3 linked regions of the Rhinolophus ferrumequinum genome follow. The protein of the gene in region 1 interacts with the protein of each later gene in a pairwise test. Links are inferred from orthologs where the notes say so. Each region holds a gene or a part of one and is shown in the gene's direction. Other genes may lie near its edges.

What was found.
Region 2: the proteins of KPNA5 (region 1) and NUP50 interact in binary tests that used the Homo sapiens proteins (3 or more experiments, as listed by UniProt). The two-hybrid records come from large-scale screens. The link is inferred for Rhinolophus ferrumequinum from reciprocal best matches to the Homo sapiens genes KPNA5 and NUP50.
Region 3: the proteins of KPNA5 (region 1) and ANP32B interact in binary tests that used the Homo sapiens proteins (3 or more experiments, as listed by UniProt). The two-hybrid records come from large-scale screens. The link is inferred for Rhinolophus ferrumequinum from reciprocal best matches to the Homo sapiens genes KPNA5 and ANP32B.

What each region holds. Positions count from the first base shown.
Region 1 is NC_046286.1:67,628,261-67,638,072, forward strand, and holds the start of KPNA5 (importin subunit alpha-6), read left to right. Parts: upstream 1-5,222; 5' UTR 5,223-5,472; coding exon 5,473-5,476; intron 5,477-6,516; exon of another isoform or gene 6,517-6,618; intron 6,619-9,812. UniProt on the Homo sapiens protein: Functions in nuclear protein import as an adapter protein for nuclear receptor KPNB1. Binds specifically and directly to substrates containing either a simple or bipartite NLS motif.
Region 2 is NC_046293.1:3,879,559-3,889,899, reverse strand, and holds the start of NUP50 (nuclear pore complex protein Nup50), read left to right. Parts: upstream 1-6,306; 5' UTR 6,307-6,629; intron 6,630-10,031; 5' UTR 10,032-10,041; coding exon 10,042-10,110; intron 10,111-10,341. UniProt on the Homo sapiens protein: Component of the nuclear pore complex that has a direct role in nuclear protein import. Actively displaces NLSs from importin-alpha, and facilitates disassembly of the importin-alpha:beta-cargo complex and importin recycling.
Region 3 is NC_046295.1:54,414,621-54,424,472, forward strand, and holds the start of ANP32B (acidic leucine-rich nuclear phosphoprotein 32 family member B), read left to right. Parts: upstream 1-6,051; 5' UTR 6,052-6,418; coding exon 6,419-6,472; intron 6,473-9,852. UniProt on the Homo sapiens protein: Multifunctional protein that is involved in the regulation of many processes including cell proliferation, apoptosis, cell cycle progression or transcription.

The sequences.
Region 1 (9,812 bases):
ACGTGAGTTTCCATGTCTTGATTACAATCTTCTATTTTTCCACAGAATGGACAATCGGGAGGACTATACATTGTTTCATAAATTGATCCTTTTATTTTGGATAAGTCACACTGTTTTTCCTTACTTTTCAGGAATTTTCTAGACTCAGTTAAGTTCTCCGAGTAAAAGGCTTTGTGGTTTAAAGTACCATCCTTAGGCAGGCTTTGAGCTGAAATTTTCGGATGATTAGATGCACCAGCTGAATGAATACTTGAATTAATTTCCATTCTACACTGTAGGGTGTTGTCCTCCCTGTTATCTGAAGTTTCATACTGTCTTGTGTTGACCCTTTCCAAGTTTCTTTCTAGTTCATTTTGTTCAAAGTGAGCAGTTTCAATATGAAAACACATTTCGTCATAATTCACACCTGACAACTTGCAAAATGGACATATAACTTCATTTTCCATGTGAACAATTAGGAGGTGAGCCTTCATATCTGGTTCTGAGGTTACTGTTTCACCACAAATATCACAAGAAAGCATGGTACATCAGGTAGCTAGAAAAGAACACAATATTATGTTAAGTTAGAAAGAGCTGGAGAAAAAGAAAATGCATTTTATAAATGATTTGGAACAATTAAACTTATTTAAAGCTGGATTATTTAGATGAAGAAATTTTCAATGTACCTACTGTTCCTCAAATATACAAACTTATAAATTTCAACCAAAATTTCACTGCTGTATTTTAAGTTTATAGTTTCAATAAAACAAAGGTAATAATTCAAATTAAAAAAAATAATTTTTCAAATATTTCCAAAAATGTGTCCGGTCTGAGGTAGAAAAAAAGTAACATTTATAAAATTGCTCAGGTAAGAAAAATCAGGTAAGAGAAAACGAAGAGAAGTTTTATCAACTGATGTATCTAAATACACAACCTTAAAGTTAATGATAGGGAGGGTAAATAAACACATCTTAACAATAGCAGTTAACAGTTAAAGAGCTTAACACAAAGCGAAATAAGTCAGACAGAGAAAGATAAGTACCATATGATCTCACTTATTTGCGGATTCTAAAGAAAAGAATAAGTGAATGAACTAATCAGAAACAGTTTTGGAGACAAAGAGGAAAAACTGAGGGTTGCTGGATGGGCGGGAGGGGTGGGGAGTGGGGGGGAGGGTGAGGGGATTGAAGGGCAGTCGGTGACCACAGGATGGCCACGGGTTTGAAAATTAATCTGGGGAACGTAATTTGGTGGCTACCAGAGGGTAAGGGGGTTGGGGGGTGGGGGATGAGGGTGAGGGGGATCAAATGTATGGTGATGGAAGGGGAGCTGACTCTGGGTGGTGAACACACAGTGTGATTTATGGATGATGTGATACAGAATTGCACACCTGAAATCTATGTAATTTTACTAACAATTGTAACCCCAATAAATTAAAAAATAAAGAGAAAAAAAAGAGCTTAACACATATCAAACTAATTTAAGTACCATTATAATACTATACGGAGTAAACCCTAGATCAGATATGTCACAACAGGCAGAAAGTGAACCCAGTCAGGCTCCAGAGGCTGTACTCTCAACCTAAAGAATAGAAGGAGAGTGAGCAAAGTAGAAAAGAACACTGATTCCAGAGTTAAAATAACTGGGTTATAATCTGTTTCAGAATTTTAGATAAAACACATCACCTCTTTGAGCTTCCGTTTATAGAATAAGTTGTACTAAATCAGCAGTCACTTTTGAGTTTTATGGACTTAAAAGTACTGGCTACCGACAAAAAGTGATTTTGCTAAGAAATATTTTTTTAAAAAGCACCGCCACAACCTTCCTACCACAGACCATCGTTCAGCTGAGGACTATTTAAAAACAAACAGAAAAAAAAAAAGATATGGAAACTATTCTCATCATTTAAATAAATTTAGCTTTATAAGCACTCCTTACACTGTCCTTATTTTTCTCATTTTCCTTTAGAGAAGTGAAAATAGTCCGGTTTTAGAAGAAAATTTTCCCAATCCGTCAGTGTAAAGAACGTCACACCAGAGTTTCTTCTTTTCTCGTGGCTGGGCCACGGCTAGACACAGAAGGATACACTTCAACTCCCACTTTGCGTGAGCTGGAAGGAGGCGGGCGACAGGTGCTGGGATGGGCATGCAATGAGAGAGGCGGCAAGGGCCAGAATGCAGCAAAGCCGAGGCTGCCCAAAGATCCTCTCCCACGTCCCGACCCAGGACACAAAACAAGCTCAGACACTTACTGGGTCAAAGATTTGGGCCTGGGAAATGAGGGCTGGGACCGTCAGTTTCTACACGCTCGGAGCTGACAGCATCTGGCTCGCCGGAAGAGGAATACGTGAGCGGCGTTGATTACCTTTCCCGGCCTGAAAGACAAAGGCAGGCCCTCTCTTCACCCAGAGATTCAGTTAACGGAGAAAAGAACCAGCGACTTCAAAAGACTTCAGCCTCCAGTATCACATTCAAAAAAAGCTTTCCCTCTGTTCCCGGAAGGGGAGGGCTCCCAGCATGCGCCGGTCTAGGTTGTACTGCATTCTGGAAGTTGTAGTCATTTTTCCATCCTCCCATTAGGGTTCGACTCCTAATTTACTAGGAGAGACACTAGGCTCTGAGGTCTTTCTGAAAGAATTACTAGGGCTGGTCCTAGGGCATTCATTACACGAGTCCACAGTATCCACTGTATAGGGCCAGAGTAGTACTCTATTCTATTACCAATAAAGGGCTTAAAGTGCTAGCAAGTGTCACACTCTAAACTATGCTCCACAGATAGAGGACGACTAAAACAGATTCTTGCCTCAAGGTTGCAAGATCATGTGTATTAATACCTTATTTTTATGGTTCAGTCCTTATTTCATTCAACAATATTTAATGAGTGTTTATTAGAAAAGCATTCTGCTTGAAACTGGAACTGTAGCAGTAATCAAAATACACAAAATCCAGGCCATTTGAAGCTTACATTCTGGCAGAGAAATAAATAAATAAACTGATAATGATAAGTTTTCCTTCATAGTAGGAAATAAAACTGGGTTATTTATAGAAAGGACAAATGTCCTTAGCCAATGTCTTTTTGAGTAAACAATGAACAAACTTTGCACCAACAGGAGGAGGAAGAGCATTCTAGGCAGAGAAAATAATAAGAATGAAGGCCTTAAGACTGGAGCAAAAAGAACATTTTGTGATTTGAGCATAACGTTCCAGAAGTGGTTACAATGTGAGGTCATAGTTGTACACAGGTCCTTGTAGAAAACTATTGCAGTTTTTAAATAGAATGGCATGAACTGATGAGGTACAGTATATATTTTAAAAATCATTTTTGGGGTTGAGTAGTTGAGCACGACAAATTGAACATGTGCGTTTATATTCCCTGCTTCTCAAAATCTAAAATGATAGAAGAATAAAACTAATAATAAAAATACATACTAATGAGATGTTTTAAAAATTTGAAAGCTAGAAAAAGGATGGATGAGTAGTAACCAAGTTAGCTAAGAAGTCAATCAATAACTAGTCAATTCATACACCATAACTGTGGAGATGTTCAGAAAGTAAAGACCAGATACTTCTGGAAAAGATATTAAATTGGGGCCTGAAAAGAGGAATATTTCGCTGAAATTCTGAACAAGGAGCAGTTACAACCCTACCTCTAGATTTCCTCTATCATCAGGTTGCCAAGTGACTCAGCTTTCCCCCAAAGACAGAACACTACAGGTTTAGTTTATGAAGAAAATGAAACTGAGAGGCTATGAAGTTAGAAATGCACAGCTAAGGGTGGGAGTCAAAATGTTGGACTAAAAATGGGGAATAATGGAAGCTAAATTCTGAATTATGATGCCCTTAGCCATTTTCTACCATCACATTCTGATGTCTGATTTGTGCCTCCAAATCAGGAGGTTGGAGAATACTTCTCCAGAGAAAACCACTGGTCCAAGAGAATGACTTTTAGAAAACTACAGATAATGACTTTTAGAAAATCCTCCAGTGAAATAGCCTAGATCCTATTTTATCACTCTGTAAGGAGGCCAACAGTAAACAAGCCCCACTAATACACAAGCTTACAATAGGTTTCTTTAGTGTCTCACTCTTAAATACAAATGAATTCTCAAGAATCACCAGGCATTGGAGTGCAGTCTGTTGTAGGAAAGAAGAAAAATCCAAAATGATCAAAAAGGAAAAAAATGAACTCTGAAGAAACATAGATAATGAATAAAATAGAAAAAGAATACTTCAAGGAAACTGCAATTAATATCTTCAGAGAGACAAGAAAAGATATTTAATGCCTGAATCAAAAATAGGAAATAGCTCTGGGAATTAAAAAATACAGTAACAAGAACATATATATATATATATGTATATATACATACATACATATATATATGTATATATATAGTGCCAAAAAATGCATACACATTTTAAGAAAGGAAACAACTATATTAAAATTGTAATAATATGTACCGATAACAAAAGCTAAATACAAGTCATGTGTATACATTTTTTGGGCACCCCTGGTGTGTGTGTGTGTGTGTGTGTGTGTGTGTGTATGTGTGTATATATATATATATATATATATAGAGAGAGAGAGAGAGAGAGAGAGAGATAATCCCCAAAATTTTTAAAACATAGAACAAGAGATGGAAAATAGGAGCTTTTTGGGGGTAGGAATCATGTATAATTTATCTTGTACATTCTGTGCCTAGCATTGCATCTAGAAAACAGTCTGTTTTTAATATTGTTTGAACTCCAGGGTGGATTACAAGGCTATACATATTTATAATAATTTAGTTATTTACTTCATATATCAGTGACTACTTTTTTTTTTGACAAAAATCTACAGATGTTATAGAATACAAAATTTTAAATAAATGGCAAATTGAAAAACTTGAAAACAAGGAGAGCATATGGGAAGAAGTTAATGAAGCTGAAGAAGGCAAGAGCCTCTGTAAAGCTCCATGAGGTTGGGTTTTTTATCCGTTGTGTATACTGCTGTAGCTCCAATATTTAAAACAATACCTGGCACAGATTAGGCCCTCCATTAGTACTATGTTGTTGGATGGATGGATGGATGGATGGATGGATGGATGCCAAACTGATAAACGAATGAATGATCAAACAAGTGAATGATCGACTGAGAACCCTCACGGAGGACTAGGGCAGTAGGACACACTCCTGCCACAGGGACTGCGCTCAGTGAGCGTGTGCAGACGCCGGCTCCTCCTTTGGTGGGTGCGGCTGGAACGCGTCTTCTCCCCGCCCCGCTGCGGATCTGTGCAGCCTTCGCCGCCGCCACCGCGGCTGCTGCGGTTGCCTCATGCAAGGGCTTCTGGGAGCCGAACCTCGGGGTCTCGGGGAAGGGGCTCAGGTGGCCGCCATTTTGAGTTGCGAACCTGATCGCTACGCTGAACGCTAGGGGCGGAGTGGCGACCACGTTGTTACCCGGAGCAGACGCCGCAGCGGAGGACTAGAAGTCAGGGTACCGGATCGTGCCACTTTAATGGGTAAGTGGGAGTGATGCAGGCCAGGTTGGGTGACCATCGGGCTTGGTCTCTTTGGGAGCTAGGAATTCCTGGGCTGTTTGTATTTACCCCTTTCCTTGCATAGGGTTCAGGACCAGGCCATGCCGGGCGTTTTCTCAGGGTGCCCTAAGGGAGACCGCGGTGGCGGGGGCGTGGCAGGCGGACCTTTCCCTAGCGGACGCGGAGGCGCGGGGAGTACAGATCCTCTTAGACAGCCAGGCTTGGTCCTCGGAAGGAGCTTGAGGCAGCCAATATCATCCACTCGCCGCTCCTCTTCGCCTTTTCTCAGTAGTTTCTCTTCTCAAACCTTGACATTCACTCCTGGGACTCAGCGTCTGTGTTCTGCAGCTTATTAGAAGTACCATAGTGTCAAGAATAAGGCAGGTTCAGTCCCCGGGGCCTACACGTCGCACCCTCTACCTCGACCAGCGGCCCTCTTCCACTTGGATGCAGGTGCCTGGAAGGACTCAGTCCCCACGACGGCAAGCGTGGGTTAGATGCCTCTCATAGTCTGCCAACTCCTAAGACCAAAATTTAGTAGTGTTTCCTCAATAATGCGTAAGATATGAAAGGATCTGAAAGCTGTGAAATGGGATGGTGATACTGAAGAAGAATATGCCATTGGCATTTACTCGTGGGCTTTTTTTACACAGTAAAAATGTTTCTGACTTGATGTCTCCATTACAACGTTCAATGATTCATTTGCTGTAGGAAAGTGACTTATTTTCTGGGTTAACAAGAAACAATTCTATTCTTTGGATCTTTCGGTACTGTTTGTTCAGTTGTAGGGGCTGAAGTCAGCACACCTCCCCCTTTGTACCAGTCATGTAATTTTACTAATGGGCACCCAAACCCATAGAGTTGGAGGCTTACAAGCACAAGAAATTCTGGTAATAGATGTAGAAAAATTTTGCATTCCAGTTATTTGCCTATCCTCAACACAGTTTTTCAAAGAGCTGAGTAAAAAATAAGCTTATGACAGAAAAAACAATTCCTCTGTTCTGCAACCTTAAAGTATCTGAATAGCATTTCTTAAATTTAAAATAACTTGTATGAGACAGCAGCCTTAATTAAACTAAGAACAGATACTACACTTGATCTTAGCCAAAAGGTTGAGAAGAGATAACAGCAGCCTTTAAAGTACCTTCAAAGTTATTTTCCAGAGAATGAAACAATCCTATTGGGTGAAGCACCTAGAGAGATCATTTTCCTTAGACTTTATGTCTTCTTTAAAGCAACGGCAGTGAGGATGAAGATGTTTAAATAAGAGGCAAGAAATTAGTACGGTAGAAGAAAGAGGAACAAATGATATATGAGTTGTTGGCTAGATTTTAGTTCGTTAACATGTTTATATTGAAAGGTTTAATATGGTCACTAGATTAATGGTCTTAGAAGTACTGTCTAGTACGTGTGTTGAGCAGAGGCACAAGGTGATTTAATCAGACGTGGAAAGGAAAAAAATAGAATTTACATTAGTTTACCTTTAAAAGCTATTAACTTTAAAAACATTTCTGTTTCTGGATTTTATAATGGGATAGTTTATTAGGCTAGTAATACATGTGTATAAATATATAAACATTGAGAATGAATATGCAATATATAAGGGTATGTGATCAAAAAAAGTTTAGAGGCCAAGGGCCTAGATTATGCCTAATGTGTAGGTGATAAATATTTTTAAGAGGATTATTGCTGTGAACATTTCATTTTGCTCAAGTATTTTATACTTACTGAGTATAACTCAACAATGTTGAAGCTCAGTTTTATCTGTAATGAACTCTGATCTCTATTTTTCTCCTCTAAGAGATTAAGCTCTTATTAATGAGACAGAATTTTTATATATGAAATAATTAGAGAATAATGCTAAACATTGTTATTAATAAAGTTTGAGCTGTTTCTAATGATAAATATTCGTAGGTGCACACCGTATTGCTGAGTCAATTCATTATATATTTTAAAGAAGGATTTTGGTCGATTGCAAATGTACTTTAATTACTAGGATATACGTGTGTTAAGTTCAAAGGCACAAAGTACCTTTTAAATCATTCCTAAGTCCTCATTCCATTCTGTTCTACCTTTAGCTCCACCACTAATGAAATTTCTCTCACTATCTTTACCAGTGACCTAATTATCAAATCTGATGTCTCTTATAGTACTTGGTTTATTGTAGGCACTTACGTTTGCCGGGTGGATCAATGAATGCGTAAATTGAGTGGCCTGTTTGTGCTGTGGTACTATGTGAAATATTTCTTTATGTTTTGAATTCTGTTCTTTTTCATGACTCTTATTCTGTTTCTTTGTCCTTTTTCTTTTTGGTTTCCTTTGCTTTTTTCTTTTCTACTCAAATGTGAACATCTTCAAGATTTCTCCTTTGGTCATCTTTCTTTTGTAGCTCTACATGATCTTGGATGATCAATCAGGAGGACTTTTCTCCTGAATTTTGACACATATTTCAACCATCTATATGTGCCCAAAGTACTATAAATTTGACATGTTTAAAATGGACACCACTATACACCTATTAGAATGGCTCCAGTTCAGTCCTGACACTGCCAAGTGTAGACAGGATGTTGAGCAACAAGAACCATTAAACACTGATGAGAATGCAAAATGTTTGTTACTTTGCAGTTTGAAAGTTTGTTCTGAAATCTGAAGCATACACTTGCCATGTTATCTATCAATCCTTACTCCTAGATATTTACCCAAGAAAAATGAAAACTTATATTTGCACAAAAACCTGTACATGAATATTTATAACAGATTTATTCGTAACTGCCCTGAACTAAAAACAACCTAAACGTCCTTCACCTCATAAACTGTGAAATATCCATACAGTAGAATATTACTTAACAATAAGCAGGAATATAAACTATTGGTACATACCGACAATCTGAACAACTCACAGATACACTATGCAAAATGAAAGAAGCTAGTTTAAAACTATACACTGTTACTATTCCATTTATGTGACATTCAGGAAAAGGCAGAACTGTGAAGGTGGAGAACAAATCAGTGATTGCCAGGTGTTAAGGGTTGGAGGAGAGCTAATAGCCCGAGGAAGTGTTTTAGGGGTGATAGAGCTGTTCTGTATCTTGATTGTGATGTTTATATGCCCATGCATTTTCAAGTTTATAGGACCATATACTAAAATAGTGATTCCTTTACTGCATGTAAATTTAAAAAATAAAACAATTGTATTCATAATTTTTGTCTCAAAAACAAGCAGGCAAGCAAACCAAACCATCTCTCTGATCCTCCATCTATATTCCCTGTCTTGGGTTATTTTGTCATTATGCTATAGCTCAAGCTGAAAACCATGTAGTCATCAACTCCCTTTTCTTCCTCACCATACATTCCTTACATTTGTTTTGCCTGTAGTTGCATCAGTTTCTGAAATGTTTCTGGAATCAAACTGTCTTCTATATTTCCAGTGCAGCTACTAATTTAGTTCAGTTCTTCATCATCAAGATTTGAAACAACCTTCTCTTTAATTTTTCTAGTTGTATTCCTTAGTATTGAGTCCAGATTTCTCAACCAGATTACAGGCACCATATGTGTTCTTAGCTATCTTTATAGCTTTATCTTCTCCTTCTCCCATGTGTCCTCTTGTTCAGGCACACTCAGTTTCTTACTGTTTTGGTTTATGTCAGGCTTCTGAAGAATTTTGCCATTACATATGTTCCCTCTGCTTGAGATGCTTGTTCCTTCCTTTTCCCTTTCATCCTCTTCCCTAGGAAATTCTTGCTCATCCTTTAAGACAGGATAAACTGTTAGGACTTACAAAACTCCTTGAGGCCCAGTTTGTTGCTTTGTCTTCTGTACTCTCATAGGATCAAATGCAAATGTCTTAGTGTAGTTTACTACTCACAATATAATTTGCCTGTCATTAGTCTATCTCTTCTACATCAGGGATGGCAGAGAAATGCCAGCCTCTTCTCTGTGTTTACTTTCTAAGTGCTAATTGATCACTACATCCTCTCTGGTTGGACATGGGTATGTTCTCTGAATTTATCAGAATAACATTCCAGGTAGCCATTAATTATCATGTTAAATTCAAGTTGAAACCCTGCATTAGACTCATTTTTTTATGTGTAAATCCAAGATAGGTTATAATATCAGTAATTTAGTATTCATTTCAGATATCAAAATAATCAATATAACACTATTATTAACAAGTGTTTATAATTCTTTTTCTAAAAGTAAGTCTATTACATATATTATAAATATAAAATTTCATATTTATATAAAATATTTTTTAAATGCTTATAAAATGTTTTTTATAAATGTTAATATTTTAAAATACATTTGTAATAAAACTATC
Region 2 (10,341 bases), on another chromosome or scaffold:
GTCTACTGGCACCTAGCACACGTGACTGCATCCCCGTCTGGAGTCTGAATCCTCTAAATAGGAAGCATGTCTTGTTCATTCTGCATCCTTTGTAATGTCCCTAATTGTGTTAAACTGTACTAAACCTATTATCACATTTTTAAGACCCCCAGAAAGCAGAGAACCCTAACACTGAAACCCCCCCGGCCCCCCGCACCCGGGAACTCCAGGCGGTCCTGGAATCGAACCGGCAGCGTTGGGAGTTAGGAGCACGGAGCTCTAACCCGCTAAGCCACCGGGTCAGCCCCCGGGTAGCCTTTAAAAATAACCACGTGGAGCTGAGCCATTGGAAAGTTAGTGACCTCCGCCCAACCACCTTCTACGTACTAAGCACCTGCGACCCTGCTCTCTATCTCCTGCTCGCTAGTGAGCTGAGAGGGCGGGCTGCCCTTCCCCGGGCTCACTGCACCCCCACCCCCATGTATGGCATCTAGAGTAATAAATCTGTGACTCTACTTGTCCTGTGTGGCTGTACTGAAACTATGCCTTCAATCAGAAGCAGCCCAGGTTTTTCACTTCCGCAAAGCGGGAGCTCAGATGCTAAGGGAGCTTGTGCCCCTCATTCTAATCTGCATATGAGCGTAATACACCAGCTGCAGGCCCCCCAACTCAACAGAGAAGTACCATCTTGCTCCAGGTCACAAAGCTAGGAAGTGAAATGCAGGCAGCTTGCCTCCAGAGCCCTGTATTCCCAATTTCTCTCTCTGTGCTGCCTCTCCTCGTGCCTACTCCAAGTGTGGTCTCAACTGGTCACAGCAGGAAGAGACCGCCTCCCTGGCTCTAAATATTATTAATACAACCTAAGATCAGATGGCAGTCACATCACATCATCACGGGCATCTGCACTTTGCTAAATGTGTACCCACCTCCTACTTCCCTCCTTTTCCTTGCCAAAAGGGTCCATTAAAGCTACGACCCTGGAGACAAAAGTATGTGGCAGGAGGTCCTGAGGTGGCCGGAAAGGAGTGGACAGGCAGAGAGAAGGCTAAGAATAAGAGCGGGCCAGACACAGAAGGAAGCCAACGAAGGGCCAGAGGGTAAAGCAGCAAGCAGGTCACCATGGAGAAGTGATGCCAGAGGCCGGCGCAGGAAGACTGTGGGCTGGTTTAGGGCCAATCTCACAAATACCAAGTTCCCATCGCATTAATCCCGAGCCCTTAAAGGAACACCAGTCACTATACTCAACAGTATCTAAAAAGCACGGGCACTCCGCAGCCCTCGGAAACTGCGACACACTTGTAGGTAGGAGCAACCAAGGAGACAAGCGCCACGCTCCAAAGGCTTTAGACATTGAGGGGAGCGGCAGGATGAACAAGCTGGATCTCTTCACGGACGTGGTAAACCTGCTTTCTTTCATGTGGTCTCTACACCTTCTTCTCCAAGACCCAGACACCTTAATTACTTCCTACCTCTATGTCCTCTGTTCACACGTCCCATCGCTCCCTCCCACCCTTCCTCTCCATTTACACAAAAGCCATTCATCCTTGGCGGTCTTTTAGCCCCAATGCTGTGAATACTTACTTCTTGATCACCTCTGTTTGTGGTTAAGTTCTTCCTCCTTGGAACTGACAGTATTTGCCCATGATGTCTCGACAGTTTTATCTATTATTTCATTCTTACCAGTTAATTTTGTTCCCAGAAAAAAGATATAATGTGCTACTTTATATAATTTATAGTATCTTGAACAGTTTTTTAAAAACATATTACGTATTACCTTTTTAGTGGCTGTAAACCCTGGAAGGAAAATAAATGAACAGCTCTAGAAAATGTATCCATTAGTTTTAATCCTTTTGCACTGAAGCCTGACATACGAAAACTATTATACAAGTTGTGAAATATTCTGAGTGACCAACAGATTGGAGTCTCTAGGACAAAATCAGTCATTGTTCAAAGTCTCGAGAGAATACAGCTGAATTCCAGTTTAATAATTAATTTTTTGTTATGAAGCCAAATGCGATGCGATTGAGAAAGATCTAATCTAGAATCTATGATGAAGAACAGGGGAGTCCCTGGCCTCTGGCGACATTTTAAAAAGCCGACTGGAAATCACAACTGTAACTCATGATAAAACTGCTCCAGCTATAACATCACGGATTCTTGCTCCTGGCGAGACTTGTAAGAACTCAATACAATTACTGGAGCTGGTTATAGAGTAAAAACCTCTGAATGTCAGTTACGTTTTTAATTAGTAAAGGGCAACTGAACTATAATTTCATAAATAAAGCTTTTAAAACAAATAAAATCTTTAAAAGAATCCTGTTAGGGAAAAACTAATTAAAAATTTTTCGTAGTGTTGGGGGGGTTGGAGCTCCAAGGAACTTGAAAACAGCGATTGTCTTAATCACGTGGGCATTTACTGTGTGCTTTACATCCATGTTCTCACTTAATCCTCAGCTTACAGATGAGGAAACTGAGCTCAAAGAGTTGAACAGCTTGTCCAAGGCCCATCTGGTAAGCGGCCAATCAAGAACCAAACGCAGGGCAATGAACTCGAAAGCTCACGGTCCTAATCACTGCATTACCCTAGCTTATTCCGCTCCCTTCCCTCACGCAGTTTGGATAAGCTTTGGCTCCCCAACAACCAGAGGAGGAAGATTTTCTTCTAGGTTCGAGCTTAGGCAAGAAGAATCCTGGGAGGAAACAAGGCTCTCGGTGGGCGCCTGTGGTACGTGCATCATTGCGGGACTTCCATCTCTCAGACCAGGTCTGGGGAAATGTGAATCTTCCAAGAACTCTTGAATTTCTGTGGCACAACTCTCGAAGAAATCCATGGAATTCTGGTAATAATGATCCCAAATTCTTCATTCCATTGCCTTAGTATGTAACTTCTCTTGACTGTGGAGGTCATTTGATCAGTATTCAAAGCCAAATTCATGGAGAACTGAAGACTGGGAAGAGAAAAGTGGTAACACATGACATTCTTTTCAGCACTGCATGCTATCTGCCCATTTGTCCTGACCTTTTTTCCTTTTTTTTAGGTAAAAGATACTCTAGGATAGGGCACAGATATTGGTCAATAAATCATTTCCGATTCAAAGAGGTCACTCCAGACACAAAAGAGGTGCCAAGCTCTATTAGCTGGGAACGTCAGCAGTGCCACTCCAGGCCTGCAGCCCCTGCGCTGGGCTGATGACAGAACACTTCCTGTTTCAATTCCTTAAATTAGGAGCATAGTGTGGTCCTGTAGGTTTCCTATTGTTGGATGTTTTCTGCTAAGTCCAAGTAGAGAATGATTCCAATCTCAAGATTCAAGCTTCAGCCAGAACTCAGCTAGAATCCAACAATTTTTATCTTGCAATTTTCTTTACTAGGGTAAACCAGGCTTGAATTATCTGAGACATTTATGACTTGATCACAGTGGCAAAGATGACACTGGTTTCTGCCATAGAACTCCAGTGGCAGAAAGGAATGCAAGGTTACATGGCCACGAACTTGTCTTGAACTAGATAAAGTAGGTAAACCAGTATGTCTGGATATCTATTCACTGAACATAAAGATGAAACTGACCCAGGCTGGCAAACATAAAAATCCTCGGGGGTTAAGCAAATTGAAAGGGAGTTCTGGAGGTAGATTTCAGAAAAAAACGGCTATTATCTTTGGGGAACTATTTCATATAATCTGGGACAAAGGGCCTCACCAAATGGCAGTAGTCAAATTCAATGGAGGTCGAGGTCTGCATGCAAACTGCCTTCATTCATCTGAGTTAGAGCCTGTTTAAAAGCTGTCACTTTAGGAAGCACTGAAATCCACCAGGTCACGTGCAAGGCAGCTAAAGTGGTACTATGTGCATAAATCTTTTTTATTTGCATCAGAAAGGCATCAATTACCTCATGCTACAATATGTAATTAAGAAGTAAATGTGTTGTTTTGCTTAGCTTTACAAGATATTGTTACTGCAAGAATAAAAGTTGTGATTTTAACTGGCCACATTTCTACATAAGAAACGTGAATAGAACAAAGTCTATCACTACCTAAGCTGTGTCCCTTATATGGAAACATCCTACATATTGTCGAGGAAACGTCCAAACCTGTAGAGAATTTTTGTGAGTTTATTTGAGCCAAACTGAGGACAATTGCTGGGAAGCAGAATCTCAACGGATTGGAAAAATGCTCCATTGGAGAATGGCAGTTCTGCAGCTTATTTTATTAATTAGAATAAAAGGAGACTCAAAGGTTACATGAAATCCATTGATGGTAGATTAAGGGGGCGGGAGAAAGCAAAGGGAGGGGTGGGATTTCTGGGATTGGATAAAAAGCCAAAATAGAAAACCCAGACTTCTTTTACACTGGCGGGTGCAGGATAGTTAATAATTAACATTACAGCACATAGACGTGGTATTTGGAGAATGGAGAACAAGAAAACAGTTTGGGATGAACGAGCTTCACACAGACAGAACCAAATACAAAGATTCACAAACTATTAGTCAGAGGAGAACTCAGAAACGTCTGGGATAATGTTTCTCTCTCTTGAAGAAAAGAAGGGTTCGTTCATTTGGTAGTTGAGTACCTATTATGTACTAAGGATGGTGATGCTGGGGGTTGGGAGGCCGAATGGGGTTGAAAGATGGCTAGAAAGGTTTAAGTGGTAAGGATGTAGAGTAGTCACTGGTGGAGTATGGAAAGGCTGACCCAACACAGCTGGAAGGGACAAAGGGCCACTTGCAGCTCAGCACCAAAAATCTGTGGAGTCCCCAGCTGTGGGCATTCAATGTTGAAAGGGTAAATGGAAAGAGGTGCTGGGCTGGATTGAGACCCGGCCTCAGCTCTGCCACTAACCAGTGGGATAGCTCTGGCCAGCTACGTAGCATTCCGAAGGGTCTGTGTTCTAAGTTCTCTTTTTGCTGATGAAAACAAAAACACTGACAAGCATGCCACTAAAGACCTCTGTTTTTGCAATACACCATTAGTCAATATTCTCTGACTAGTTACACGAACGGTTCACAATATTCCATCCAATCACCAACGGTGTGAAAGACACACAGCACCCAATACAGTTCCCTGGCGGGGTATTTCTTTTCACATCCGTCTCAGAAAAAGAAACACCTGGCAACATCTATATTTTGGATTTCTTGTCTTAGGGGAATTAAACATATGGCAGGGAATAAATCTGACTTTATCTTAAATGTCCAGAGCGGGGGGCCACCCTTTTCTAAACCCTTACACATTCAATCTAGTCTGTAGATAGGGAATCCTTAGCACGGGGGTCCCTGGATAGCATTTTAGGGGGGGTTCATAAACACCCTGAAATTATATGCAAACTGGTTTCCTATAGGCATGTATGCGCAAACTTTCTTTGCGTTTTCAAGTACATCCATAAACACCCTTCTGCCAAATGTTAAGAAGCAGTGCTCTACGAATTAAGAATGTTCCTTTTCTTTAGCAACTTTTCTATTGGTTAATAAATGGGTCTCATTCCCATAGTGTCTACTGGTTAATATTCTCAACCGTTAGGCAAGAAGACTCGGACAAAACGGAGTTGCTGGATACAGCGTAACCTACTGTGCGAAATGCTCCATTGTAAGATACAAAACAAAAGCACAAGAACACAAATCCTGACGCTGGACACACGTAGTAGTTCCACAGTTTAAAAACGTGTCTGCAGACTTCGCCTTCGCCGACCCTACACAGTGGCGCCATTTCGGGCAAGTTATTTCGCCTCTAAGGTGTCACCGCGGAGAACAGACGCGAGCTGGAAGGCGGATGGGTCCGTTTGTTCTCCTCCTCCCCCGAGGCCATCCCTCCGGGCTCCGCAGTCCCGGGCCTTCCGACCGCTCCGCAGCCAGGTATGCGGCGGGCGCTCGGGGCAGGGCTGCCGAGGACACGATGGCGGCACCGCGCTCCCGACGTGACGCTGTCCCCGTGTCACTCACGTTTTCCGGGCCGCGGCCTGTCCCTGCTCGGCCCTGCAGCACCCCCACGGAACACCGCGAGCCTCGGCCAAGCTCGCTGACTGACCTCACCCTCCTGAGCGCCCCGCAAAGCCCCGCGCGTCCGCCCCGCAGCGGCCAACCGCGCGCGAGCGCCTCAAACGCGCACGGCAGCCGGCACGTGACCAACGCGCGTAAACTGCGGCCGGCGCGCGCAGGCGTGAGACGGGGCCGCTCCTCCCAGCGACGGTTTCCCAGTAGCGAGGCGCATGCGCCGCGCGGCGCCCCTCCCCCCCGCCTGAGGAAGATGGTGCGCGGCCTGAGGCCCCGGCGCGCCTGCGCAGTAGGCGGACGCGGGCGTTTCTTTCCTCCCTTTTTTTCGAATTGGGTTTGAGGGTTAGGTTAGAGTTACAAAATGGCGGCCTGGAGTGTGTGCGGCGCTGTTCCCCCGGCAGGCTCCGGCTGAGCGGACAAGTCTCCTCCTCGCTGCCGAACACAGAGACCAGGCCCCCAGGGGACATGCTGTTTGGGACTCTGCGCTTACTGATCCCCGAGTCCTTCGAGAATCTCGGCGCTCCGGAAGCGGCCAGGCGCGCTCAGCCGGCGACCCGCAGCCGCTTGAGACTCGAGCGACGCGGCCTCGTCCTCGCACCTGCTCATCGCCGCGCACCCACGCTTCGCCGCGCCCACCACCCAGCGAGTACTGCGGCGGCCGCCCCGGAGGTGAGACGCGGATGGGCAACATGGGAGGGGATGGGGCCGAGCGCCCGAGCCCGGGTGTCGGGACGACCGGGCGGCAGCCGGGTGTAGGGCCCGGGCCTGGGGGGGAGGAACCGGGGTCCGGGTCCGGGACCCGGCCTGGAAAGGGGGTCATGGGAAGGGGGAGCTGGGGCGTGGGGCTCGGGCCTGGGGAGGGGGCGCCGGGGTCTGGGTACGGGACTCGGGCCTGGAATGGGGACCCTGTGAAAGAGGACCTGGGGTGCGGAGTCCCGGCCAGGGGAGGAGGAGGCCGATCAGGGTACGGGACCCGGGCCTGGAAAGAGGAGTCTGGGAAGGAAGAGCCAGAATGAAGAGCCCGGGCCTGGGGAGCGGGCGCCGGGCGGGGTACGCGGGACGGTTGGGGGATCCCGGGAGGGTGGGGCGGGATGACAGCCGCCACGCAGTCGGGGCTGTTTATGAAGCCCGGCTCGGGGCTGACCTGTCTGGGCTGCGGACTGGCTCACGCTCGCCGGGGTGCCGGGCCTCTGCGGCCCGGGTGGAGGCGGGAGGCCGGAGCGAATACCCGAGGCCATCTGGTTTACTTCCTAGCGGTTCCTCTCGGTACTTCCTTCCCCTTGGCCGTCTCACCGCTCTTCTCCTCCCCCCCCACTGCTTTGGCCTGGCTTCACTTTCTTACCGCAATCCCAGGCCATCGATCACCCCATTACTCTGTTCCTTTAAGAAGCGATTTCTTTTCCCCTGGCGTTTCAGTCTCGGGGTCCGCCCCCTTGTTCTCTTTTTCCCCGGGACACTACACTATCAAGTACGGTCAAATCTGTTTTCATCTTAGGATAAACTAATGTCTACTGAAGTTCAACCCCTGGAGCTGGGCAGCACCAAGTGGTAGAGACCACAAAACTACTTGGGGTGCCAGAAAAATGTATCCAATTGGGCACTTTGGTCAGCGTTGCTCAAGCAGTAGTTTTCCGTAATCAGAAGTGTCTGGACACTGATGGTAACCACTTTGAGCACCTACTGTCATTGCAGAAGTCAAACGTGACTTGTATTCAGTTTTTGTTATTAGTATATATCAAGTATTACAATTTTAATACAGTTTTCCTTTCTTAAAATGTGTGTACATTTTTTTGGCACCCTCTGTGTAATAGGCACAAATAATAAAAGTTTTTCCAATTACCAGAAGTTTCAATTTGCTGTCACAAGGAATCATTTAATAACTCGGTACCTTTTAAACCACAAGCCCAAACTTTTTAAGTACCTTATAATAATAGCTGTCACATAAGACTGTCTAGGTGCCAGGGCTTATTCCAAGTACTTACAGCGATTTTTTTCCCTCTTCTTTCATAAAAAGAAAATTTATTGTCTGAAGTGTCATGCTTTGAAGTAAAATACGGAGTTGTTAAAATATTTTAAAGCCCGACTCATAATTTAAGTAAATTCTCTTTTTCCACACTATAACTTTTATGTTTTGGAGAAAATAGAGTATTTTATAGCCTCTCCTTCTAACAACAATTGTTTCTTTAATATTTATTAAGCCCTTTTTCTGTTTCAGGCACTATTCTAAACTAAGTTTTTTGTTTATCTCATTTAACTTTCACACCTCCCCGTTCTACAGATGAAGAAACTGAGGCACAAAAATTAACTTGCCCAAGGTTTCCAGCAATAAAATGGGAAAACTGGGATGCCAAACGGTATTTTCTTAAATATGTAGTGTCCCAGATCACTGAGTGGACAACAGCTAGAACTTGCCCGGAGAAGGGCAGGTTTGGGCATTTGGAGTCCGCATCAGTAAACAAAACAGATCACTGCCCTCTGGTTAGTTACTGATGAATATGGTCGAATCTGGGAGCAAGCTACATTAATGTAGGATGTTTTGCTATGCCAATTATCTCTTCAGTTGTGGGTATGAGCTAGAGGTTAAAGTTTTACTTTATTACAGGTTTTGCCCTTTTAGCTCCACCCCTTTTTGCCAGTTAATAACTTAAGTTATTAAGTTACCAGTTAATAGTTAACCTTAATAGCAAAAATGACTGTTTCAACTTCTCTCCTCTTCTGCCCTCTGGTGGAAGTGTTAGTTACTGAACAGGAAAATGGCCAAAAGAAAGCATCTGGCCTCTGAACAGTAAAAGTTCAGTAAGGAATAATGTCTAAAAGTACATTGTTTTTGTTTGGATTACAAAGAGTAATAGCAAAGCTTGACCCGATGTTTGGGGAGAGACATTATAAAAGAGGATTCAAAGATTATTAGGATATCATTAAAAGCTGAAAAACTCCTATGTAATTACAGGGGGTTAGATTTTGGAGGGCTTTGGAAGTCAGCATTTGAATTTTGTAGATACTAAAAAGTAGTAGGTGAAATATAAGTTTGTATCTTAATGACTGTGAAGTTTCAGAAACTTTTCTGGTGGGTTGTGGTGTAGAAGGAAAGGGGGACAGAGCAAGTATCAGAAAGGCGTCTAGGCAGGTTTCAGGAGCCCTGAACTAAGGGGTAAATTCCTGGGCAAGGTGGGTGGCAGAGGAATTAGAGGGTTTTTGTCCATGTAACTGGTCAGTTAGGGAGGAAGTCGGCCCAGCACTCACAGTGGCGCACGCTCGCCATTGATTGTTTTTATGTTTTTTATAGCAAAAGGCTATGATGTTAGGATAAGAAAGCAAACTACAAATTTTAAGGGACAGATGCAAGCACCCTCTTTGGATAGGTACTTATATTACTGCAGAGATAATACTGTCAGCCCGCCCCCCGCCCCCCTTTCCCTGTAACGTAGTGGTGTTCGAGGAGTTGAGCTCATGGGTTATTTTTGAAGGGTTATAGATTCTCGGAATGTTAACATATCAATATTAATTACATTTGAATTTTTAAATTATGTCCTACCTTAGCAATATACAATTTGGGGTAATTAACTGTTCAGTCTTCGGAAATGTATTTCTATCAACTGTCTGTAGCCTAAAGAAGGGTGTTCACGCTATGAAAGTATTACCAATGCCTTATTAAAATTCTTTCCTAAGAATGAACTTCTTTGTTGGATCATCTTTAAGATAATTTTAATTACTAAAAATGTTTTGTCTGTAGCAAGATTGTAAGTGTCATTTGCATAGAATAAGTTAAGCACGTGATCCTGTAAGCAGTACTGACGATTTCAGATTTTAAACAAATCGATTGAGGTGTCCTTAATTTTGTCCAAATAAAGTTGGTTTAGTGTTGTTCGGAAAGTGCCAGTGTTCCCTAGAAGACCTCGCTGCCTCCTTTGTTGGATTCGAAACACAGGGAGCCTAACTACACAGTTCCCGTTCAAGCCCTTCCCACTGGTGTCAGGAATGTTGTTGTTTCGTTTCATGTTCGAGTGAGTGTAAGAGTGATGTCTTGGGCTAGAAAAGCAAACTTTTTACGTCTAACCTTTTTACTTTTAGGTTCGAAAAAATGGCCAAAAGAATTGCCGAGAAGGAATTGACAGATAGGAACTGGGATCAGGAAGACGAAGCAGAAGAGGTAAAAAGGGGGTTCCCTGGGAGTGATTTCCTAGTGCCTCTAAATTTAAGTTCGCTTTGGGGTTCCTCATGAAGACTTTGTGGTAAAATTCAAAGGTCTTTTTCTTTAAGACCATCCTGGATGGGAAATGCTGTGGTGTCTTAGGACCTGTACTCACTATAGGAACGTGTTGAGTCCGTTTGGATGTGCCTTTCCGCCAGCGCCCGTTCCCTGAATGTTCTCCTTCCTCCT
Region 3 (9,852 bases), on another chromosome or scaffold:
GCTCCACCATTACCGCTAATGAGTAATGTTTGTAAAATTGTACCTAATACACAATTTAGGATAGTTAAAAAACATCTATTATCCATTTTGAGTTAATTTTTGTACGTGATGTGAGATACAGGTTCAAGTTCATTCTTTTGCATGGGGATATATAAAAGTCCCAGCCCATTTGTTTAAAAGACTGTTCTTTTCACATTGAATTGTCTTGGCACCCTTAGGTTTTCAACCTTGTCATTAATTGAAACCTGATTGACAAAAATGTCTTAAAAATAATACCTAGTTTAGGCAAGGGTGAGCAGAAGTCTTAAACACTGTTAATGGGAGTATAAAAGTACAGCCTCTGAAGTGCAATTTGCCATGCATATCCAAATTTGAAAAATATATACTGATTTGGGAATTATACTTCTAGGAATTTATTTCTAGGAGCTAACTGTACAAAAGTGTTATATATAATGGTGAACTTGAATAACCTAAATGTTTATCAGTAGGAGACCAGGTGAACAAATTATGCTACATCCATACAGTGAAATATGATGCAGACTTTTAAAATGATGAAGTAGACTTATATTTGTTGTCTTGGAGGAATCCTTGTGACTTACTGCTACGTGAAAAATAAAAGCATGTTACAAAGCACCGTTATATAGTATGATTACATTTATAAAATATTATATATTTTACATATGCATCTTCATAGAGATAGCTCAGAAAATATTCACAAAATGATTAACAGCGGTTGCTGCTAGGTAATGAGATTTGGGCTGGCTTTCATTTTCTTCTTTATACTTTTTTTTTGCATTGCATGAATTTGCTACATGAATATGTATTGTTTTTATATTCAGAAAAAGAAAAGCTATTTTCATTTGTAGAATAATGTCTTCAAGGATTCTATAGAAGACTATTTAATAGCATGGAACTATATTAATAATATATTGTTAACTGAAAAAAGCAAGTTACAGTATCATCCCACTTTCAAAAAATTTTTTAAATATCATATATAGTATTTCCTAGGTACTTGAAAGGTTTTTTTTTTCTACTTACTATTTCTGAAATAAAGATGCCTCATAATCGATATGAATACTTAATGTAGTGGGTTCCCCCCTCGCTGCCTCCCTGAAAAGCTGTTATTAATGAGATGATGCTTCTGGCAATCTGAGACTTGAGAAAGTGCCATATGTGTGTACAGAAAAGACTGGAAGAATAGACACCAAAACGTGATCAGTGTGTGCTTAGCCCTGAATTTAGATTTTTATTTTCTTCTCTTTGTTAAGTATAGTTTCCAGATTTTCTATAGTATATGCATAGATAAACATAAAAAGAAATCAGGAACCTGGCTGCCCTGCTTTCCTTTTTCCTTCCTTTTTAAAAGATCTAATTGGCTTTATTGAGTGATTCATGAATTGGGCAGCATCCCATCTAGCAACTAGGAGGGCACTCCTGCCCTGCTTTTCAAGAAGTATAACGTAAGGGTATTTGGGACTTTTGGCCTTTGCCAAAATAAGAAACTAGCAAATTAGGGAACGCATATTCCACCTCAGGAGTGTCAGAGTCTCGAGTGAGGAACGACTACCTTGCATGGCCACCTAGGGGCCCATGTCTGGACCTGAGCTGGCAAAGCAAGTTGGAGAACAGATGGGAAAAGTTCAGTCAGCAAGAGCAGGACTCTTGGATCAGTCTTAGTTCTGTGTGGACAAGGAAATCCCTGTGAGGTAGGAGAGAGTCCAGATGGTTAGAATGCTGGCTAATTATGGCGGAGCTACATACCCACCACTGTGGGGCTACTCAGATCTTTTCCAGTCTGGCTCAGGAGCATGTTCCCAGTCCCTGAAGAGAGCCTAAGGACTGTGTGAAACAGAAAAGGAATCCACTCCTTTTGAAAGTCAAAACTTATGTTGGTTTGGGGTGAGCCCCTTCCTCAGCCAAACGGTTAGGGTAACTACATGAAATGAAGGACATGGAGCAGAGATGGAGGACTGATGGCCACAGCAGAACTTCTCCAGCCCCTGAGGAGGCCAGAAAGTTCTGGGCCTCTGCTTAGGGTAAGGGAGAGACTGGGGCAGTGACTGTGGCAGGGGCACAGAGGAGAGTGCCAGGCACTGTACCAGGCAGGAATTCACCCATGTGATCATGCCTAATCCTCACAACAGGCCTCAGATGAGCAGCCTGAGGTTCAGAGAGATTAGGTGGTTTGTCCAAAAGCACACAGCCAATAAGTGATGGAACAGAACAGGATTCCCACATCACTAGAGTCCTTCTCTAAAAAGGGAAAAATATTTAGCAAAGTTAATACTCATATTTATCATATTAACTCATTTATTGTAATGATAGGTGGAAAACACAAGTTTCAAAAATTCAATCTGATCCCAGTATTTTTTTAAAAAAAATGTATACTATAGGGAAAAAAAAGCTGATAGGTATATCTCAACGGTAGGAATTTAATTTTTAAATGTTATTTTTCTGTGCTTTTTTTCTTTCCCCCTCACAATGAGCATGTAAATCTTCTTAAAGCGGAGAAAATAAAAACAGGTTTTTCAGAAGCAGTTGTGAGGACTAGTAGATCAAAGTAATAAGAATGAATTACATGGCAAAGAAATCCAGATTCTTACTAGCTATGTGAGTTCCACTTGGCTTCTCCAAGTCTGTTTCCTAAACAATAAAAAGGGATTATAGTCTTGTCCCAGTGAGCTGTTGCCAGGATTAACTGAAATGCAATATACACGAAAGTCCCAAGCACAGTACTTGGCATAAGGATGGTGCTTAATAAATATTAAACCTGGCTCTTGGTAGTCATAGCTCTTCCTTGCTGCCCCAGGAAGGCCCAGCACCTACAGCTGTTTCAGAGAGCAGAAAGGAATCTGGTTCCCTTGGCAAGGACCCCTTACTTGACCTGCAGCTGTCTACACACCTGATACTGCCCCCTCCTCTGTTTTTACCATGTGGAGACTTATAGGATCTCATTCCTTAACCCATTTTCATCTAACTATTTGCCTCTCCTCTTCCTTTGTCTCAAGTCTCAGCTGCCAAATAGTATTGAGTACAGGCGACACTATTTTCAGCATAACACATTTGCCGAGCACCTATGTTCTAAAGATGTCCCAGGCTCCTACGCTCCATTTATATCATCCAGAAATACTTGTATGAACTCACAGTCTAGTTGAAATTTTAGATCCTTCCACAACTCTTATGTGTTGCCTAACTGCTATAAAGGGTACACACTCCATGTTGTGGAAACTCAGAGGAAACAGTTACCATTGTATGCACATGTGTATGGGAGAGGAGGAAAAGGATGGAAATTATAGCATTTAAAGAATAATGATTTCCTCACCCTATATTAGGCATCATCTTCGTATACTGTCTTTACTAAAGAAAAAGGGTACCATTCTGCCAAATTGGTTTCAAAGCCAGTTAAACCAATGCCTGAGTGGGGCTGGTTCCTCTTATCTTCAGATTTATTAAAGTTTGTTCCCAACCAAAAAATGAGTGGAAGGCTTGGGGGCATCTGACAGTTTGATGAATGGCCTGCGAGAGCTAAGGCAGTGGAGTGGAGAGTAAGTCCAAAGAGTTACAAACTAGCTTAGAGTGTTCTCCTCAAACAATTTGGAGCTTACTGGAATTACACACACATTCTAACAAACAGGCAATTTTAAGACTCAAAGGGGTGCCGAAACCAGACATCATTTGATATTTTTATTACTTATTAGGCAAACATTAATATCAATGGAAGCAAAAAAAGATTCACCCATACATAGTTCAGGCTCCCTAACAAACTAATAGGCTGTTTTCACTTTTCCTTGTTTCTTTCTAGCCCTTGTTCAAATCCATAAATCCATAAACATGATAATAATTGTGGATTAGGTACAATGATATATTCTACTTTTCTTACACCCAGATGCATACTCAGAATGATGTTAAGTATAGCAGTAGTCAAAACCAGGGCACTGTGACAACAGCCCCTTCAGGCCTGTAAACTGACAGTCCAGTGGAAGATGTTGGCAGGCCAGTGAGACACACCCTGTTCTGCCTGTGTTATTTATGCCTCTGGCAGTGAAGCCCCTGACAAAGAAGCATGTCACTGGAACACATGCTCTTTGTTCACAGAGGTGCATGCCAGCACCGGCTGTGTCAGAAGGGACAGTACCGGGTCTGTAGTCTCTCCTCCTTTGGCTCTTTTGCTTTCTTTTTACTTGCTGTACATTGTGGCTATGTTTATTAATTACTTTGTAGTTTAATTTTATAAAGCACACATTTATCTTGTGAGGAAAGAGTCCTTCATACCCTTGAGTTGTCATAGAGGACAGGGTCCCAAGATTTGTCTAGTTTCTCCCTAAGGACCAGAACCACCTCCCTCGCGAGTCACCAGGTTACCTCTCTCTAGCACAGAGCTACCACATTCCAGTCTCCTTCAGCATCTCCCCTTTACCTGCAAGAGGGTACCTGCATGTTGTTTGGTATTAAAGGTCCTCTGCAAATGTTCCAAATCAGATCCCCATGCTACGACTTCATTGCAGTTAGACTGATAGTGTAGCAGTAAAGATGGCAGGCTTTGGAGTCAGACCTATCTGGGTTTGAATCCTAGATCCACCTCTTGTTGGCCATGCAGCTTAGGGTTCCTGAGCTTCAGTTCCTCCTCTGTAAAATGATTAAAATACAATCTACTTCACAGGGTTGTCTTTGGATTAAATGAGAAAGAGCATATCAAGGGCTAAAAGTGGATGCCCAATCTTGTTAGCTCATGGAACTGATTTGCTAGTTTTCTGTAAAACTCTTCATCTCATGGCCCTGTGGTTCTCATAACCTAATAATTACAGACCTCGCGTGACATCCTGAAGAGTACTCCCTCACCATTTTCCCATCACGGAGATATCTGCTGAGACTAACATTTTAATACTAGACTCAGGAAACAACAAATGAAAGTTTTTGCCCTTTTCCAAAGTCCTTCTAAAACTTGCTTTTGCTTTGAAATTTTAATTCATCCCATATTTTAAAAATTGATATAAGTGGCTTTGTTTGCCACAGGTAAAATGGGAGGGGGGTCTTTCTTAACTTTAATAAAATCTTTGGTTAACTAATAGCATTGTGTTTTTCTCTATTCGTAAGTTGTTCCCAATCTTTGGAGCCTCTTGTCTATTTTAGAATTAAGATGGTATCGGATTAGACACATGACGTATTTACTTATTTTAAATTGAATATAACCATACGTTACTCCCCAGAGGTCCGCAAAGAAAACATAGTGCTCTAACCCTGGTTCTCAGGGTGCTCTCTTGAGCCAGACTATTACAAAGGCTACCTGCCAAGCTTCAGCAAAACCGAGACCATCTAGAATTTACACACCTCACAGGGGTCCACTAAGGAATAATGGGATAAAAGTCTGCGGGGAAACTGTAAAACACGGAGGCCCCATTAGAAATGCTAATTGCTGCCTTGCTAGCCTACATTTAAATGTTAGAAACCCAGGGAGATTCTCCCGAACTTGGGGACGCTCGGCTACTCTGTGGCTTGGGCTGGCTGCCGGGCTGCCCCAGACCCCGCCGGCCGCGAAGGCCAACTCCTCCTGGTGCCACGTGGTACAACACCGGCCGGCCACGATTCCGCTCTCGACTGGGGTCCTTGCAGCCCTTCCAACTATCACGGGGCGAAGGATACGGAAGGATTCGGGCTGCTGATCCACACCGTGTAGGGGAGCAGAAGGTTAACCCGCAAGCTCCGCGTCCCGCGCTCCTTCACGTCTCCCGCCTTTGCAGGCGTCGGGCTGGCTTGGTCGAGTCTCAGCGGACCGACTTGGTCTTACGGACCCCCGAAGCAGGACTGTAAAGCCTCCACCCGAGCCCTCCACGCAAACGTGCGAGCGCGGGCCACAGACCCGCGTCTGGGCGCAGCGAGGTGGGGTCCGGGGGGCGGTGGTCTCAGCACGGCGGCGGGCGGGGAAGCCCCCGAGGAAGATCTTACATCAGCCACCCCACGTGCAACCGGAGGGAGGGGTGGAAGTCGCTCGGGTCCCCCAGGCAGCGCCTTTCCCTCCAGCCTCTGCCCCTCCCGCCGCGTCTCCCCGCCCCGTCCTTGGTTCATCCTCAGCCACCGAGTCGAGCGGCGCCGCTCCGGGCCGTGTGGTGCTGAGCAGCCGCCTGCGCCGCGTCGCCGGTTTAAGCGCAGTGCGGGGCCGCGGCCGGGGGCGGCGGTAGTGAGACCAGCGTTACGCTCCAGCCCCCTTTTCCCTCCATGGTTTCTCTCGGCTCCCGTGAGTAACTTGGCTCCGGGGGCTCCACTCGCCTGCCCGCCCGCCGCCCGCCGCCCAGGACCGCGCCGCCGGCCTCTGCCGCCAGTAGACCCCTTCCGACGGCCCTCGCAGCGCAGGCCGGGCCGCCTCTCCCCCCTCCGCCCCTGCCGCGGAAAGTTAAGTTTGAAGAGGGGGGAAGAGGGAAACATGGACATGAAGAGGAGGATCCACCTGGAGCTGAGGAACCGGACCCCGGCAGCGGTAAGCAGAGCCCCCCTTCGGGCGTCCTCTCTCTCCGATGACTTGCATGTAATGGTGGCCACCTGCGGGGCCCCGGGTGCGGGTTCGCCAGCCCCGGCGCGGGGAAGGGCGCAACTCGCGGGCTCGGACCGGGAAGGCGGGCAGGCGGGCGCGGAGGGGGGAGCGAGCGCGCGGGGATTAACTCTTTGGCGCCCGCGGGCCCCCGCGGCCGTCCGAGGAAGGCGGTGGGGTGGGGGAAAACAAACTTTGAGCTCCTCGCCCACCTGGGTCCTTCCCGGAGCAGCGCGCGTGTGTGTGGCAGACGGCGAGGGAGGGACAAGGGGGTTGTGTAACGCTGGGAGCCATGTTTGCAGCCTCCCGGGATGCGCGGCCGAGCGGGGACCCGGCCTGCGGAGGAGCCGCGCGGCCAGCCGGGGCTGGGCCCGCTGCGGGCCAGGCCGGGCTTCGCGCGCCCCGGGCCGGCGGGGCAAGGGGCTCAGGCGGGAAGGGGTCTCCCGTGGCCTGCTCTTGCGGTTGGCGCCGGCCCGACCGAGGGCAGGAACTGTAGGGCGAGGAGTGGGCTTTCTGCCTCGGAAGGGGGGGCTAGAAGCCCCCTCGGGTGACCGGGGGCTTCGGGCGGGCGCGGCCTGGCGCGCGCGGAGCGGGGGAGGGGCGAGGCCGGGCCGCGGAGGTGGCGCAACCGCCGCCCCTCGTCAGGCCAAGTTTGAAAAAAGGACGCGGTTCCCGCCATTTTTCAAGCCTAAAAATAAAACTTTCTGTCCCCATTTCTCTCCCTTCCCTTTTGCCCTCCGGGCCTTCCTCACTCCCGGCCTTCAAGGGCGGGCCCTGGTCGGCCCAGGCCAGCCGTTGTGACGGTGGCGGCGGCTTCGCCCTCCCCCCGCGCCGCGGCGGCGCAGCCCGGGGCCCCTGCCCGGGAGGTTGGCCCCTCGGTGTGGGCGGGCAGCGGCTCCACGCGCCAGCCGGGGCGCGCCACAGGCCGACACAGCGCCATGTTGGCGGGCACCCGTCTCCCTCCGCCGCGGGAGCTGGCCTGCGGGCTCGGCCCAGCCCGCCCGTCCGCCCCCGGCGGTGGCTGCGGGCTGCCGCTCCCCGAGCCGAGCTCGCGGCTTGTGTTCTGCTCGCCTCTCCGGAGCTCGGCTCGCACTGGCGGGAGCTGCGCGCTTCGCCGCCGCCGACTCATCTCCGCTCTGGAGCTCTGCTGTCCTCCTCCCCCTTCTTAAAAGGGCAATGCCGGCGGCCGGCTCCGCCCGGGCCAGGAGCCGGGGGTGCGGGCGGGCCTCGGCGGCCTCGGCCCCCCACAAGTGCACGAATGAGGCTGACCCAGGCCGGCACTTGCTGGCCGCGGCGGCGTGAGCTGCGGGCAAGCCTTTAAAAATCGCCTCTTCTCCACCCCGCGGACTAGAGCGGCTTCCCGCGGCCGGGTGCAGGGCCACGGTACCCGGCCCCCGCGTGGGGAGGCCGCCCATCTGCCAGACCCCCTCCTCGGGTGAGTGGCGGGCTCTAGCCGTGGGGGAGCACTGGGGAAGCCCTCCCACCCCGCCCCAGTCCCGCAACGGGCGCGTTTCGTGCAGTCAGGTAGCTGTGGGTAACAAGTTACCAACTTGTGGAAATTCATCAACCAGGATTTTCCTGGTGTGCACGAGGTTTTGAATCCCTCAGGTCACCACAAATGAGGTTCGGGGCGCAGCACCACGTGGCCACCCCGAGCATCCCTGAGGGAGCTGAAGGCGTGGGCGTCTCTACTAATCCCTGGGGTTTTAAAGTTGAGGTGGGACCCAGCTCGTCCCTTCCGTTCATCAGTCAGACATTTTGTGTCGGCCACGTGCTAGTATATTGAAGGGTTAAACCTCTTCGCACTGTAAAACTCGACGAGTTCTCTTCTCGTTTTTTGAGACGTTGTTAATTTCAGACGTTTGCGTTATTACTGAGTAGTTATAAATCAGTAGAATGTGGAGTAATTACATTTAGCCAGAATTTCCGAAAAAGAAAAGTACTACACACTTGGGTCTTCCAAGTATTTTCAAATCGAGAATTTGAATTCTTTGTGCAGTAACTAAAGTACTATTAAAGTACTTACTCGGTAAGGATCAGTGTTGCTTTCTCTGGGAAGTACAACTGGGCTGGTGATCCCACTATATGGAATTTTTCATATATGAGATGACTAATATATTGCTCTTTGAAAAGTATGCATTTTTGTGCAAGTGTTAATTTTTCAAGTAATCAACTTAGGCCTTACCCTCTTGCCAAACACAGGCTAGTTAATTAACATTAAATTAAAAGGTCGGTTTGACAGTTGCACTATCCACATTTCACGTGCTCAAAAGCCATAATTGACTAGTGGCTATTGTACTGGTCAGCACTGGTCTACAGCAATCCACTGGTTTATTAAATATTTGAGTACCAACAGTATGCCAGGACCTGGAGAAGCAGTGTGAACAGCACTTGAGAGCTTACCCCTTCTCTCCTGACCTCTGTGGTGCCTATTGTACTGGCCTTGAAAGTGTTAACTGGAGCCAGCCAATATCGTGGGGGAGAAAGACAGGCTGCCCTAGAGATTCACAGGGAGACTGAGAGCAGGAGTAGGTTCTTAAGAGATTGATTCTCTTTGACTTTTAAACTGAAGGCTTTTGTGGGTAAAAATGCTGTAGATTTTGACGAGATACTTAAGAGCAGCTAAAAAGTGTTTTTGAAGAACAGCATCATCCTTAAGGCAAATGGGAAGTTCCAAAATGATTCCTTTAAAGCCCAAATCAGCTAGTCACAGGCTCCTCATATTTTGTGTGGGGCCAGGAGTAGGTTTGGCTTCTGGGATCCGACAGAATCTCATCATTTGAGGAAAGAGGAAGAATCCTTCGTCTTTTGAATGTATGGGCAAGAGGCTCTTAAATGCAGAAGAGTGTACCCCTGGCCGAGGTTAATGTCATTAAGTAAGATCTAAGTGTTTGAGGAGGGTAAGTGGAGGTTGGATCATAAATGTTTTTAGGGTTTTTTGGGTTTTTTTTAAAGACCAGATTGGCCTGTGTTGTGTATGGCTTTTTTGTTCTTTATTTTGGGGTTTGCAGAAGACCCTGGTAACACTTTACCTTCTTGTGTTCTTTGGCCAAAGGCTTAGATCAAGATAATAGGTTCAGTTCACCTAGTACCATATCCATGTTGTTTATAAACACAAGTATTCTCATTTCTCTAATGGGGAACTAAAATATATATATAATTCCATTTTTTCTAAGTCCGAAACAGCTCCTTATGTCAGAGGTGTGTTCTCATAGTGGAAAAACTGACTAAGATGGATTTTAAAAATAATCTTCATAAAGAATGGTGATAACCATTTAAAAATATAGGAATATTTTACATAAAATATTTGTATTGCCAGTTACTTCACT